3 linked regions of the Callithrix jacchus genome follow. The protein of the gene in region 1 binds, or shares a complex with, the protein of each later gene. Links are inferred from orthologs where the notes say so. Each region holds a gene or a part of one and is shown on either strand. Other genes may lie near its edges.

Region 1 (5,374 bases):
CAATTTTCCTGTTCCATTTGCTTCCCCCACATAACTTTGGATATTGGTCCATTTTTGAAATTTTAGTCAAATGGAAACAGCATATAATCAAGCTTCCATTTTTAATCCCACTTCATCATGAGTGAGAGAAATTGATCAACATCTGTACTCTCTTTAAGACTCCGCCACATCTCATGAAGGGGAACCTTGGACCTGAAATACAGCTAGAAGGAGCAGTAATGTGATGCTGTTGGCTTACATGTGAGCAAGCCTCTACGTTGCCACCTCCACCCGGTCCAGTCACAGTGGAAGCCTGAGCTGGCCAGAGACTGCTACTGCTAAACCAATGGCTCAAAACCCAACTCAGATGTTTCTAAGGAGAGTACTGAGGAACACAGGAAGATTTAACTAGTTTGGTGTATCTGAAAAGCCAACTTCAAACCTCTTCCTTCTCTAAAATCTCATGCTTATATAGAAAGAGTATGAGACCTCATAAAAGAGAGGTGAGCAGAAAGACAGATGTGGAGTAGCTATCTTCAAAACACAGCTATTAAATACACTCATTCAAGCCTCAACGGTTTCAAGTTTTTTGTTGTCTAAAATCACTTCAAATAAAAAAGCAAAATAAATAAAAAATAAATAGAGCCTAGGTCACACCCATATACTTCCTGTGATTAGAGACCCAAATCACCCCATTAATGCTCCTTCTAATGGTGATGTCCACAGAGCTCTAATATCCAGGCTTCTATTTCTCACTTATTTGAAATATACCCTATAGGACAGACTCCAAACCTTGCCAAAATGAGAGATAAAAATTGTTCAATGGTCACAGGTGATAATTAAAATTACTCTGGTGACCTTGTTAATTATTGCTAGATAAAAGATTATTTGTCAAAAACTTTTGGTGCATCATACCTGTCAATACAATTTTAACTGCATTAATGTTATACTTTGTCTCCTCTTGACCATGGAAACTTCTCTCAAGGTTGTCTCATTCTTGGAATAATCTTCAACCTGTCTGTCATATATTCTACCTATTCAAAGTTCCCTGTAGTCATCTAAACAATGGGCCCCAAGGAATTTGGGTGCTAATTCCTGGAACCTGCAAATGTTAACTTATTCAGAAAAAGTGCCTTTGTAGACATGATTAGGTTAAGGATCTTCAGATGAGAGGATTATCCTGGATTACATGGTACAACCTAAATGCTATCCGAATTATTCTTATAAGAGGCAGATAGGAGAAGAGAAGTCAGATACACAGAGGAGAAAATGCTGTAAAGACAGAGACAGAGACTGGACTGATGTGGCCACAAGCACAGGCATGCTGGCAGCAACCAGAAGCTGCAAGAGGGAGGAATGGATTCTTTCCTGGAGCTTCTGGAGGGACAGCAGCCTGCTAACAACTTGATTTTGCCCCAGTGATAATGATTTTGGACTTTCGGTCTCCAGAACTCTGAGAGAATAAATTTTAGTTGGTTTAAGGTACCAAGTTTATGATAATTTATTATAGCAGCCAAAGGAAACTAAAATACTTTTTTTTCAAATTATATAAACAAAGAGAAAAAAGAAGTATATGTTTTTTCCCTATTGTTTTGTTAATAAATATATGTGATTATTTAGTATTTTAAAATACATTTCAGGCTGGGCATGTGCACGGTGGCTCACACCTGTAATTTCAGCACTCTGGGAGGCCATGGTGGGAGGACTGTTTGAGGCCAGGAGTTTGAGGCTGCAGTTGAGCTATGACTGCACCACTACACCCCAGCCAGGATGACAGAGCAAGATCCTGTTTCTAAAAAAAAAAATATTTTTTAATAAATAAATACACATTTCAATTGCTGGTTGTCTCCATACAGTTCCTATGTTTATTGTAGCCCTTGTGGTGCTCTATATAGAAGTGGAATTTGTTTAATATTAATAGAATGAAAAAACAAAGTTGAAAATAATGCCTCACCTTGCGATACCTATTTCTGGCCAAGTAGCCTCGCAAATAAGACTGAAGAACGATAGTGGCAGCTCGTCTAATCTTATACCTCCTGTGGACCACATACATACGCCAGTACTTTTGAATGATAGTTGCTGCCTTGGTTCTGCGCAGAAACTTAGCATAGCTGGCCAAAGAAAATAACAGTGTGTTGTCACTCATCAGAAAAAAAACACAGGAATACATGTTATAGAAATGTAAAGAGTGTCACTGTTTTAGGCATTAAAAGTAGTACCTCCATTGTATTATTCTAATAATGTGCATGCTAAGTCAACATTTATATTTACTTACATTTGTATAGCAATTTATAGTTTCCCAAAGTTTTTTTTTCATTTATTATCTCATTTGAGCCCTCCCTTACCCTGAAAAGCAGGATGGCCCACATAGCCAGATTTTACAAGAAAGTGAAATTCAAAAAAGTTCATTCTTTCTGCATTAGGATCCATTACTATGTCCTCTTTATATAACAGATGGACATACACAGTAACCTCACACTTAGTTATCACCAGCTTTCTTGAATCTAGCCATTACTAACGTACCATATTTTTCCTGAATCTACTAGCATATAAGTTCATTAATTCATTTCTACTTATACTTCTCAATTAAAATCAACCTAATATGTAATCACACTAAAGTGTACTTCTCTTCAAGATCATCTCAGTTAATTGCTCCCCCAAATTCTTCAGTGCAGTCATTATTAACCAGCTCATATTCATGACTATCTTAATTAATATACGATCTCCTCAAGCTCAATATAAAAGTATCAAAAATAAAAATTTTTAGGACATTAAGTAGGCAGCAGTTTGTAAATGCTTGGAAGATAAATCCGAATAATTCATAAGGCTGAGTGAATTTCATTCTATTTAGTTGTGCTATGAGTTAATTTGTTGTTCCTTGGAACTAAGAAAAGGTGAGGTGTTATCTTTTCAGGTATGGTGACCACTTAAAACTGTCCTTGGTTGGACAGTGAATTATATGGGCACCCTAATATGTCACCATGAGACCTACCATCGGGCCTGGTAGCCCCTCACATATCTCTGCACAGCAATGGCCGCCTTCCGCATGCGTAGGTACTTCTTCCTCAGCAGCCACCCTCGGATGGTCTTCTGGATCCGGATGCAGGCAGCCCTCAGTTTGTCTGCTCTCAGTTTTTCTAGATAGGCCACTTGACCAGCACGGAAAAAGATCTTTGTCTTACCAAACTGGTATTTGTCCTTGTCCTATTTTTGGAAGAAATTGTATATTCAGAAATAATAATCATAAAATGAAATTTAAAAGAAAAAATATCTAAAAGCAGAATCAGTAAAGGAATTATCTATCAGCTAAAACTTGGGCTATGTCACAATTAACTAATGAAACCAGATTTTTAACCCTTTGCAAGTTGAGCAAACAGAAGGGATTTCAAGAAAAACTGCAGTTTAAGAGTTATTTTCCAGAATTATTCTACCTGGAATTATTATCTGAGGCCCAAAACTTGGTTGTGGGTTATAGGCAGCTATTATTTGCTTGTTTGTGTTTTAAACATCTCAAGGAAATGGAGATGCTGACTCTCTCTGACTGACCCAGGCTGTAAGGATTACATCAGGCTGTATATTCCATGAGAAAGCTGAAGGGACAAAAACACCAGTGTGAAGAATAAGGCAGGAAGAAATGCATATGAAATAAAAAAAAACAAAAACAAAAATCCTTGAGTATTCATATTGAGTACATTTCTAAACAGTTATCCCTTGGCTTTATCAATAATATTTGAAAACAAAGTAACAAGACTCCATAAATATGTTTAAAATCCTACAAATTTCAAACTCCTTTTACAGAAATATAATTATTTATATTACACTGTGATTCACCTTATCTAGAAGAATGCAAATCATTAACCATTCCTGCACCCCAAAGAATGGAATTTATGTATAAAAATCATTACTGTGATCTGAAATTCTTTTTTTTTTTTTTTTTTTGAGATGGAGTCTCACTCTGCTTCCCAGGCTGGAGTGCAGTGGCGTGATCTTGGCTCACTGTAGCCTCCGCCTTCTGGATTCAAGCGATTCTCCTGCTTCAGCTTCCTGAGTAGCTGGGATTACAGGCACAGACCACCATGTCCAGCTAATTTTTGTATTTTTAGTGGAGACAGGGTTTCACCATATTGGCCAGCATGGCCAGCACTAGCCAGCATAGCTCAAACTCTGGGCCTCAAGCAATCTGCCCAAGCCTCCCAAAGTGCTAGGATTACAGGCATAAGCCACCACGCCCAGCCATGTGATCTGAAATTCTAAGTGAAAACAGAGAAAATCATTTTTCCCTATAAGTATGTATCTCATTATATCTCATACATGATACCCCAAAATCAAAAACATCCATGTATATCTAAAAAAATCTAAAATTATTTCAATTTTAATCAATAAAATTTACATAGGAACCCTAGCTAGAAAAGTGGTCCTTACCCCTGAGCCACTTCACACCAACCCTGCTTCCATCTTTCAGCCTCTGCCTAAATTCCCTGCAAAGCCTTGATTAGGCCTGAAGTGGCCTGAGTGAGGGGACCAGGCATAGGCCTGTTCCTATTTCTGCTCTACATTCCCACCTGAAGCCAGGTTAGAAGGGAATTGGGCCAACCTTGAAAAGGCCCAGTTTTTAAAAAATATTACTGAGAAAGTAGCCTTAGTTCTTTCAAGGAAAAAATATTATTAACAAAAAAGGGGCATTACAAGCAGTCCTCAGCTAGTAATTATGATCAATTAGCTCAAAGTGAGGTAATCCATCTAGGCTAGTGTTAACAAGTGAAAATACTTTTTAAAAATTTTTCATTAATCTTTAATTCTTTAAGACTAAGATCAATAGTTCTCAAAATGTAGTCCTCAGACAGCATTGGCATCACCCAGGAAACAATTCTTGGGCTCACCTCAGACCTAATGAGTCTGTATTTTAACCTAGCAATCTGTATTTTAACAAGCATTCCAGGTCACAGTAAAGTCTGAGAACTCTTTAGCCTGGACTGAAAAACTCTGTAACACCAACCTACATTTCCTAACCATTTGGCTATTGTCACATACACAAATCTCACACTTCAAAAAACTGTTTTATGAGCAAATCCTACACTTACCGCTTCTTGCTCCCTCTTATATTATTTTCCTTCCATTTTACGTAGTTTTACCCATCCTCAGGGCCTGAATCAAAACATACCTCTTTCATAAAATCCCTCCTTCCCATAGCTGGACGTCGCTTTGCCTTCCCCTGATTTTTCGTTCCACTCATTCAGCATTTGATATAAACACTATGGTTATATATTATACTTGTCTTTAAAATGCATTATTTTCCAAGCAAGACTATATCACCTGAGAACAAGACTTATTTTTCCTTAATCACAAAGCATTTAGCCTAGTGTCTTCCAGAAGTACTAGGTACATTGTTATTAAA
Region 2 (4,287 bases), on another chromosome or scaffold:
GTGTCACCCATCATACCTCAGTTCAGAAACAAGAATCTGCCTAGGAGGGACTTTCACCACTACGACTTTTAAACTTTATATCCTGCCACTTGGCAGTAGAAGACTCCAGGTGCAGACCTTCCTGAGAGAATGCTGAGGACTACATGTATTTTGGGTGGATACCTAAGTGTAAAGAAAAGCAGGATTTTGGAGTAGCATGAAATTACTGAGGTAACCAGGCATCCAGCCGAAGGCAAGGATGGTTTGAAGCGGGATGTGTGGAGGCTGGGATGCCACTGTTTCTCAGCTGCTTCTGTGTAGGCTTCCTCCCTGCTGACGATGCATTTCCCCTTTCCCTTCCAGAGCTGTCTGCACTTCCTGTAGCATAAAGGTGAGGAGTGTGTGGGATCTCTGGGGTCTGAACGAGGTAGGTGGCAGGCCCCACTGCCTTTGATTGGATGTGTTGGATGGTCCTGCTCGCCGGGCACCTCATCCATTTCCTCTCAGGCAGAATCCATTCTTATACTTTCCAAGACAGTGTGCAGTTTTTAAAGACCCTTACAGGTTTTTGTCTGTAAACACTCCATGTTAGTAGCCTGGTGCCAAAAGAAACCCTTCGCTTCCCGTCTCAAAGGCCCATCTTCTGACATTCTGTAACTTTGGGTGTTTTAGGAGGGGTTCCTTATTGCAGCTGTGTGTGTGCTTATGCCTGTTACCCCAGCACTTTGGGAGGCCATGGCTGGCAGACCGCTTGAGACCAGCCTGGCCAACATGGTGAACCCCCATCTCTATTAAAAATACAAAAAAATTAGCTGGGCATGGTGGAACACACCTGTAATCCCAGCTACTCAGGAGGCTGAGGTACGAGAATCACTCGAACCCGGGAGACAGAGGCCGTGGTGAGCTATGATGATGCCACTGCACTCCAGCGTGGGTGACATATCGAAACTCTGTCTCATAAATACATACATACATAGATACAACTATGTCAGCAGCCAGGCAAGGTGGCTCATGCCTGCAGTTCCAGCACTTGGGAGGCTGAGGGAAGAGGATCTCTTGAGCCCAGAAGTTCAAGGCTACAGTGAGCTATGGTGCTGCTGCACTCCATCTGGGCAGCAGAGCAAGATCTTGTGTCTTCAAAAAAAAAAAAAAAAAAGTTTCTCTTTATGCCTCAGTTCAGAAGCAAGACTCTGCTTCAGGGGCACCTTTCCCACCACTGTTTTAAAACCCTTACTCTATATCCTGGTACTTGGCAATGGGAAAACTTCCACCGCATCTGCGTTAAATGTTGATTATGTGTAGGGCACGGTGGTAGGTCCCATATGGTATAAAAAGGTCCAGTTTTTGCCCTCCAAGAAGGCCCTGTCCAGATGAGCAGAGAGCGTGAATGGTCATGTGTGGGTCTTCAGACAAATGGCACAGAGACATCGGAAATTCTCTAGGTGGTGCTGCTGGCTGCCACGCAGGTACCACAGGGTTCTCCGGCACTGAGTGTGACTTGAATGTCCCTGTGGAGTGCCTGGTCCATACCTCCTCCCTCTGCTGCAGATGAAGATGCCTTCTAAGAAGTTTGCACACATCCCTGTCTACACGCTGGGCTTTGAGAGTCCTCAGAGGGCATCGGCTGCCAAAACCACGCCAGTCCAGAGAAGAGACGTCTTCCAGTGCGTTCTTTGCCTTGCTGCTGATGTCGCTGTGGTGGTGGGGCATGAACAGTAACCCGGGAGCTGGGGTGGAGGGGGCCAAGGCAGGTCTCTGGGAGGCTGAGTGGTAGGAAATGGACTTGAGTGGTCAGGGAGCAGTGTTTGCTGAGATGAACACTGCTAGCTGTGTCACTTACACAAAACCCCATGGGTGTCTGAGGGCCAAGGGGAGGCCTAGGGCAAAAGGCAGCCAGGAGGGGGCTCTGGGATACAGGGTCAGGGACAGGGGTGGGCTCTTGCACCCTGGCCGGCTGCTTTCCCTGACTGCCCTCTCCTGCTCCCTAGATCTCTGCAAGGACCACAGTGGCAGAGCGTGGAGGAGGCATTCCCCCACATCTACTCCCACGGCTGTGTCCTCAAGGACGTCTGCAGTGAGTGCAGCAGCTTTGTGGCCGACGTGGTGCGCTCCAGCCGTAAGAGCGTGGACGTCCTCAACACTACGCCACGACGAAGTCGCCAGACCCAGTCCCTCTACATCCCTAACACCAGGACTCTTGACTTCAAGTGACAGGAAGCACCAGGCAGGCCCTGTTCCAGGCCAGGACGCGCTGAGCTGTGCATGTACATATATACATATATAGATAGATTTATAATATATACACCCGGCCTATATATTTATAGACGTCGTTGCCTCGCCCCAGAGCTCATTTGGGTTCAGGCGCACTTCAGAACTCTCCCTCGGGGAGGCTGTTTCTTCTCAGGATTCCTTGCCAGGGAGGAAGGTGGGGGAACAGGGAGTGGGTTTTCTCACTGAGGAGAGAGAGCAGAGGGTTCTAGATCCTGGCACAGACTGCATCCCATGTTCCCATTCTCTTCTCTGTCCCCAGCAATGAGGATAGCAGCTTCCCCTCCCTGGTGGATGTCTAGGTGGGGATTGGGTGTCTTGGCTCCCAGCTGGACCAGAGTGCCCTGCTCGCCTCTGCTATCCCTTCGTGGAGACTTGGGCAGCACCTGGGAAGTGTCTGAGTGAGCGAGGTTCTCCTGGGAGGCACCCCCGCCTCTGTTTGAAAGGTCTGGCCAGGCATGGTGGCTCACACCTGTAATCCCAGCACTTTGGGAGGCCGAGGAGGGAAGATCGCCTGAGGTCAGAAGTTCAAGAGCAGCCTGGCCAACATGAGTCAACCTTGCCTCTGCTAAAAATACAAAAATTAGCCGGGCGTGGTGGTGCACACCTATAATCCTAGCTACTCAGGAGGCTGAGACAGAAGAATCACTTGAACCTCGAAGGCAGAGGTTGCAGTGAGCCATGATCACACCACTACACTCCAGCCTGGGTGATAGAGTAAGACTCTGTCTCAAAAAAAAAAAAGGTCCATGCCAAGCTTCTCTCTGCCCTTGCCTGGGGTCCACACCCCAGCTGTCCTGCCCCTTTGCCCTACCACATTCTGGTGCTGTCCTCACTCGCCTCCGGCTCAGAGGCTACTGAAGGTGCTGGGAAGTCCCAGTCCAGGGAGGAGGAGCTCTGTCAATCTGTGCACATGGCCAGGCTTGGCCTAATAAAGGAAGTCTCACGTTCTGTCTGGATGTGCACTGAGGGTGCGCCCAGCATGGCAGTGGGCATATTCTCCCAAGATTGAAGCTCAGCTTGAGGGGCCACCTGCCCTCCAGGACCAGGAAAGGCCTCCCTGGCTTAGCACAGTTGCATGCCCACCCGGCAAGGGTCCCAGGCCTGCTCTGTCCCTGCAGCCCTGGCTGGCTCTACCAGCTTCCGTGGTCCTGGCCACCTTGGTTAGGGGTGCAGGCAGACAGCACAGACCACATCCCATCACCTCCCTTGGCCACATCTGCTGGCCTGGGGGACAGTTTAGTCTCACTTCCCAGATCCCTATTCTTGTTCTCCAGGGAGAGGAATCACAGGGGCTGGAGGTATGACAGGCTCTGGACAGGCCCTGTGCCCAGTGCTGTCTGCCCACCAGTGCCTGGCTCAGCCTGGTACAGCGCCCTGCCCTGTTCCTCTGTGAGGCTCTGCTTTCATTTCACCTTACACATGAGGAAACTGAGGCTCAACCAGGTAAAATAATTTGGCCAAAAAAACAGCTCACCCAGGAACTTTGGCCCCAAGCTGTAATGCCAGCCATGGGGCTTGGAGGTTAGGAAGGGATCTGACTTGTAACAGATTGGCCTGTGGGAGAAACACTCCTATCAGCTGGGGCCCAGGAAATCCACACACACAGTTAGAGCCCCCAATAAAATCAGCCAGCTTCGGCTGTGTGTGTGTGTGTGTATTTCTTTTTGAGACAGAATTTTTTTTTTTTTTTTCCAGAGTTTGGGTCTTGTTGCCCAGTCTGGAATGCAATGGCGTGATCTCTGCTCACAGCAACCTCTGCCTCCTGCTGGCCCTGTATTTTTATTCCTGTTTAAAACTAAGAAAACAGTCATGCACGGTGGCTCACGCCTGTAGTCTTAGCACTTTGGGAGGCTGAGGTGGACGGATCACGACGACATGAGCTCGAGACCAGCCTGATCAACATGGTGAAACCCTGTCTCTACTAAAAATGAGCCAGGTGTGGTGGCACATGCCTGTAATCCCAGCTACTCGGGGACTGAGGGAGGAGAATTGCTTGAACCCAGGAGGCAGAGGTTGTAGCAAGCCAAGATTGTGCCA
Region 3 (5,374 bases), on another chromosome or scaffold:
CCCCACTCACTGCACCCCCACTCACCTCTGCAGCCCCCAATCACCACTGCACCCCCCACTGACCACTGCACCCCCAACTGACCACTACACCCTCACTCACCACTGCACCCTCCACTGACCACTGTAACCCCACTCACCACTTCACCCCCACTCACCACTGCACCCCCACTTACCACTGTGCCCACTCACTGTGCCCCCGCTCACCACTGTGCCCCCACTCACCACTACACCCCCCACTCACCACTGTGCCTCAACTCACCACTGTAACCCCACTCACTGCACCCCCACTCACCTCTGCAGCCCCCAATCACCACTGCACCCCCCCACTGACCACTGCACCCCCAACTGACCACTGTACCCCCACTCACCACTGCACCCCCACTCACCACTATGCCCCCCTCACCACTGCACCTCCACTCACTGTACCCCCACTCACTGTGCCCCCGATCACCACTGCGCCCCTGCTCAACACTGTGCCCCCCCACTCACCATTGTGCCCCCACTCACCGGGAGGTTTGACCTCCTCCGGGGCTTTCCCGAGGGCTTCACTGTGAGCCCCGCAGCCCTCAGGGCTGCAATCCTGGATTCGATGTCTGAAACCTGGAGAGGACAGTAGACAGGCGGCCCATCAGACAGATGCTCGAGGTCCCACCTCAAAGTCATGGACAGAAAGAGCAGCTGCCCCCAGCTCACTCCTGGAGCCAATTTTACTTGTGTTTTCCCTCAAGATTGGCGTCCCAGCCCCATGCCCATCTTGGTGGTCCCCTTGGCATTTATCTTCCATGGTTATTGAGAAGGGGGGTACCTTTCTTGTGTGCCACCCCAGGCAGGAGGGGGTGCATTTTCTGGAGTCATAGGGAGTCTGGTTCTCATAAAGAGCTGGAGGAGGGGCCATGACTGGGGAGGACGGTGGTGGCTACTCTTCACCTAGCACTCAGCCACCCCTACTGACATCATCCTTGCCCAGCTCCCCTTCCGCTCCTTGCCCCTGAGGCCACCCCTCCCACAGCAGCCAGGGGCAGCTTCTGGAAACAGAAACCAGGCCCCATCACCCTACTCAGATCCTTCCAGCCCATCCTCCTCACAGTCTCCCTCTCATCACTCTGACCCAGTCTCAGGGTTTCATGACTGATCCCTGCGCGTGCCAAACTCACTGCCACCCCAGGGCCCTGGCACACGCTGCTCCCTCCACCCAGGCTCCTGCCTCCTGGATTTGCCGGGCTGGTTCATTTCCCTGGCATCCCTCCTGACCACCTTATCTGAATCGCCCTGCCCCGAGCGCCCTAGGGGTACCTTTACTGATGGTCTTCATGCACTTTACGAGAACCCAAAGGATCTGGTTTGCTATTTACCTCCTCCTACTAAAAACAGAAGCTTCAGGAAGGCGGGGGCTTGGTCTAAGGCATTTGCAGCTGTATCTTCCGTGACCTACACAACGTGGCTGCATTTCAGGCATTTGAAGCTGATTTGCAGAGCGAGGAGGAAGAAATGAAGGGAAAGTCCAGAGCCCGAGCGAGAAGGAAGAAACAAGGGGAGTCCAGAGCCCAAGCGAGAAGGAAGAAATGAGGGGATTCCGGAGCCTGACTTGCCCCCTCAACGGGAACAGCCCTGGGGTATGTGCCCTTCTTCCTCAGGGGGTGACAGGTGCCTGCTCATGAGAAGGGAAGCAGAGGAGGGCCAGGGGGCTGGCTGTCCCCACAGTCTGAGGGGCAGACCCTCTCCTCTCTGTAGGTCTCTGGGGAGGACAGAGCATGCACAAGTCACATCGGCTGTCCCTGGGAGGCCTCAATGTGTTGGCTTTGCCCTTTGACCTTTGTGCACGATTGATATGTTCCTCACCCAGATGCAAGCTCTGCAGCCACACTGGGACTCACAGATGGCCCTGGGGACAGAGTCCAGTCCTGAGTCTGGGGCTGCCCTAAATTCCAGGCCTGCTTACAGGTCAGGGATTGTGAGTGGTCAGTACTTTTTTCTTGGTAGTAACCCTGCCTGTCCCTCACCAAGTTGGAAAAAGGGAAGGGGTGGAGGGCTCAGGGGGTGGCAAGCCAGGTGAGCCCCACAGGAACCTCAGGTGCATGCTCGGCCTTCAGAGGCGTGCATCCTGGGCCAGTGGGGAGGGCTTGGTGTGAGCTGTCAGTCAGACGGTCAACACCCAGCCACGGTCACCATCTGTGTTTGTGGAACCCTGCACGTGCTCCCCTGTGCCTTCGGGGCTACCTCGCTCTCTGCCTGCTGGACTTCTGAGACTGTCACTGCCACTCTGTCCTCCAGCTCCGACAGCGCCTCATCTGTGGTCCTGTTGTGCTGGACGGGGTCCTCAGGGCCCTGGCGGCTCTTTTCCTGTCTGTTGGTTTGATGGGCAGCTGTGCCCACCTAGGAAAGAGAAGGACGGAGGCTGACCAGCTCCAGGAGGGAGTGTGGGTCTCACCCAGACGGGGACTTGCCCTGACATTTCTCTCCTCTCTGAACCCTGGGAACTGGTCGGCCAGGAGCTGGCCACCCACCATGGACCCCCTCAAGGGCTCTTGGTGTCCCCATGCAGTGGCTGCCTCTCTGGGGAGGGTGGTGGCTACCTGGAACTGTCCTTTCTTGCCCCCCTGCAGGGTCCTGCTGAGACCCCTGGGGGTGGTCTTACCTCTGAGTCTGCATGGGGGAGGGTCCCAACTGAGGTGCCCCTGTCGGGCTCTGCCTTTTCGTCCTTGGTCTCCTCTTCCTCAGACGAGGGCCCCTCATCACTGACGTTGCTGGTCAGCTCCTCCAGCTTCCTCCTCAGGGTCTCCTCCTCCACATCAGCCTCCGTGTGCACTCCAGCACCTACACCCTGACAGAACAAGCCAGTGAGTTTGTATTCGGCTCATCATCTGGAGCCGTGGAGCTCAAGGGTTGGCTCTGGGAGGTGGGCCTGGGCCCAGCACCCCTGGGGTTCCTGCTGAGCTCGGGCTGCCTCCCTTCTCCATGCAAGCTTGTCCACTGTGCCCCTCTGGGGCCCAGTCCCAGACTCCAGAAGCAGACTCTGCAGGACGGGGCTTCCTAGGGAAAGATGCCCACCACCTCTAGCTAAGATCCTCTCATCCCTTACATCTAAGGGTGCCTCTTGTGTATTCCAGGTGGATGTCCTTACTCTGTGGATGGGGAGAGGGGCATGGAGTCATGTCCTTACTCTATGGATGGGGAGAGGATTGTGGAGTCATGTCCTTACTCTATGGATGGGGAGAGGGGCATGGAGTCATGGCTCTTTGCCCACTGTCTCTCAGGGAAATGCACAGCTGGCTTTGGATGGTCCAGTACCAGGAGCTGTACCTTCCCACAGTCTGGCCAAGGACTGACTTAGCAGCTGCTGCTGGTCAGTTCTCTGTGTCACATGGCTCCCAATCACATAAAAGCAGCGCTGGGCTGTGAGTGAGAAAGGGTCTCCTTCCACTGGCCGCCTTGTCTGTGTGCGGGAGGAAGGGAGGCTAAGGGTAGGCTTTGTCTGTTGTGGACGCCAGCCTTTCAGGAAGGGTTTGATGTGCCAGCTCTGAGAGGGCAACAGAATTAAGTGATAAAAACACAAAATCATCCCAATTGCCTCTTACAGCCATAACAGTGCTAAGGCGTCTCGCTCTTTTTGGTGGAGGCAGCTCAACTCTTTAAAGCTCAGGCCAAGAGCCTTGCAGACATCCTGACTCGCCTTTTCCTCTCATCCCAAAGAGCCATTCCTGTGGGCTCTGCCTTTGCGAGGCTCCCCGGACATGCCTGTCTCATTTCACTTTGTTACTCTACCCGGTCCTACCACCACCTTCTCCCAGCCGGCCCTGCTGCCTCACTCCCACTCCACAGCCTGTTCTCAGGACAGCCAGAGCAACCCCGTGCCCTCAGCCAGCTGTCTTCTGCTCAAGCCTCCCCAACTCCATAGTAAAGGCAGAGCCTGGGAGGCTCCATCTTGTCTGACGCCGGCACGAGGCCCAGCTCCGGCCTCTCTGCTCCCAGGCCTGCCTCTGTCTCACCCATCCTGGCCACGCTGTCTCCTGCAGGTGCTCCCTCCTTGGGACTGTAGAAGGGCTGCCACACTCCATCCTAGACAGCCACACGGCAGTTCTGGCACCTCTGCCAGCTCTTCGGGCAAATCTCACGCTCAGTGGGGGCATCTCATTTGAAATGGCAGCCTCGCCCCAGGGACCTTCTGCCTCGATTGATTCTTCTCTACCTTCCTCCACCTCCTGACCTGTGTTCCAATTGTTGGGTTGTGAAGGAAACCAAAATATGCCACCCCAGAATGGACTTCTGGGACATATTTCCGGGTGTTTATTCAGAGAAGCTGCAGACAGGATTGCCTTGAAAAGCTGTCTTTTTTGGTGGTGGTGGGGATTTCATCTGTGGAGGAAAGCTACAGGGGTGAGCTGAGCACCAGGCAGATGGGCTTTCTCTGTACCTTAAAAGGACACTGATGCCTGACACTTACAGGTGCGACAGGGACGCTGACAGTATGGGCTGCTGCCGGTTCTTACACGTGCGACAGGGACGCTGACAGTATGGGCTGCTGCCAGTTCTTACACGTGTGACAGGGACGCTGACAGTATGGGCTGCTGCCGGTTCTTACACGTGCGACAGGGACGCTGACAGTACGGGCTGCTGCCTGACACTTACACGTGTGACAGGGACGCTGACAGTACGGGCTGCTGCCGGTTCTTACACGTGTGACAGGGACGCTGACAGTATGGGCTGCTGCCTGACACTTACACGTGTGACAGGGACGCTGCCAGTACGGGCTGCTGCCGGTTCTTACACGTGTGACAGGGACGCTGACAGTATGGGCTGCTGCCTGACACTTACACGTGCGACAGGGACGCTGCCAGTACGGGCTGCTGCCTGACACTTACACGTGCGACAGGGACGCTGACAGTACGGGCTGCTGCCTGACACTTACACGTGCAACAGGGACGCTGCCAGTACGGGCTGCTGCCGGTTCTTACACGTGTGACAGGGACGCTGACAGTACGGGCTGCTGCCTGACACTTACACGTGTGACAGGGACGCTGACAGTATGGGCTGCTGCCTGACACTTACACGTGTGACAGGGACGCTGACAGTACGGGCTGCTGCTGGTTCTTACACGTGTGACAGGGACGCTGACAGTACGGGCTGCTGCCTGACACTTACACGTGTGACAGGGACGCTGACAGTATGGGCTGCTGCTGGTTCTTACACGTGTGACAGGGACGCTGACAGTATGGGCTGCTGCCTGACACTTACACGTGTGACAGGGACGCTGACAGTACGGGCTGCTGTCTGACACTTACACGTGTGACAGGGACGCTGACAGTACGGGCTGCTGCCTGACACTTACACGTGCGACAGGGACGCTGACAGTACGGGCTGCTGCCTGACACTTACA

What was found.
Region 2: the proteins of MYO5A (region 1) and SPIRE2 are in contact, whole or in part, in a crystal structure (PDB 5JCY), measured with the Homo sapiens proteins. The link is inferred for Callithrix jacchus from reciprocal best matches to the Homo sapiens genes MYO5A and SPIRE2. Residues at the interface, in NP_001369276.1 of Homo sapiens: Asp1551, Val1554, Arg1555, Thr1559, Ile1562, Asn1563, Lys1566, Ser1597, Gly1598, Leu1615, Thr1616, Asn1617, Phe1618, Asp1619, Leu1620, Ala1621, Glu1622, Tyr1623, Val1626, Asp1629, Leu1630, Gln1633; in NP_115827.1 of Homo sapiens: Arg404, Pro405, Arg406, Val407, Leu408, Leu409, Lys410, Ala411, Pro412, Thr413, Leu414, Met417, Glu418, Met420.
Region 3: the proteins of MYO5A (region 1) and MLPH are in contact, whole or in part, in a crystal structure (PDB 4KP3), measured with the Mus musculus proteins. The link is inferred for Callithrix jacchus from reciprocal best matches to the Homo sapiens genes MYO5A and MLPH. Residues at the interface, in NP_034994.2 of Mus musculus: Asp1524, Val1527, Arg1528, Leu1531, Thr1532, Ile1535, Asn1536, Lys1539, Ser1570, Gly1571, Leu1588, Thr1589, Asn1590, Phe1591, Asp1592, Leu1593, Ala1594, Glu1595, Tyr1596, Val1599; in NP_443748.2 of Mus musculus: Lys184, Lys186, Arg187, Leu188, Leu189, Ser190, Phe191, Arg192, Asp195, Phe196, Glu197.

The regions. Positions count from the first base shown.
Region 1 is NC_133509.1:40,062,873-40,068,246, forward strand, and holds part of MYO5A (unconventional myosin-Va), read right to left. Parts: intron 3,184-5,374; coding exon 2,972-3,183; intron 2,091-2,971; coding exon 1,934-2,090; intron 1-1,933. UniProt on the Homo sapiens protein: Processive actin-based motor that can move in large steps approximating the 36-nm pseudo-repeat of the actin filament. Can hydrolyze ATP in the presence of actin, which is essential for its function as a motor protein. Involved in melanosome transport.
Region 2 is NC_133521.1:47,502,874-47,507,160, forward strand, and holds the end of SPIRE2 (protein spire homolog 2), read left to right. Parts: intron 1-342; coding exon 343-370; intron 371-1,527; coding exon 1,528-1,643; intron 1,644-1,967; coding exon 1,968-2,190; 3' UTR 2,191-3,198; downstream 3,199-4,287. UniProt on the Homo sapiens protein: Acts as an actin nucleation factor, remains associated with the slow-growing pointed end of the new filament.
Region 3 is NC_133507.1:158,840,838-158,846,211, reverse strand, and holds part of MLPH (melanophilin), read right to left. Parts: intron 2,822-5,374; coding exon 2,636-2,821; intron 2,374-2,635; coding exon 2,218-2,373; intron 601-2,217; coding exon 508-600; intron 1-507. UniProt on the Homo sapiens protein: Rab effector protein involved in melanosome transport. Serves as link between melanosome-bound RAB27A and the motor protein MYO5A.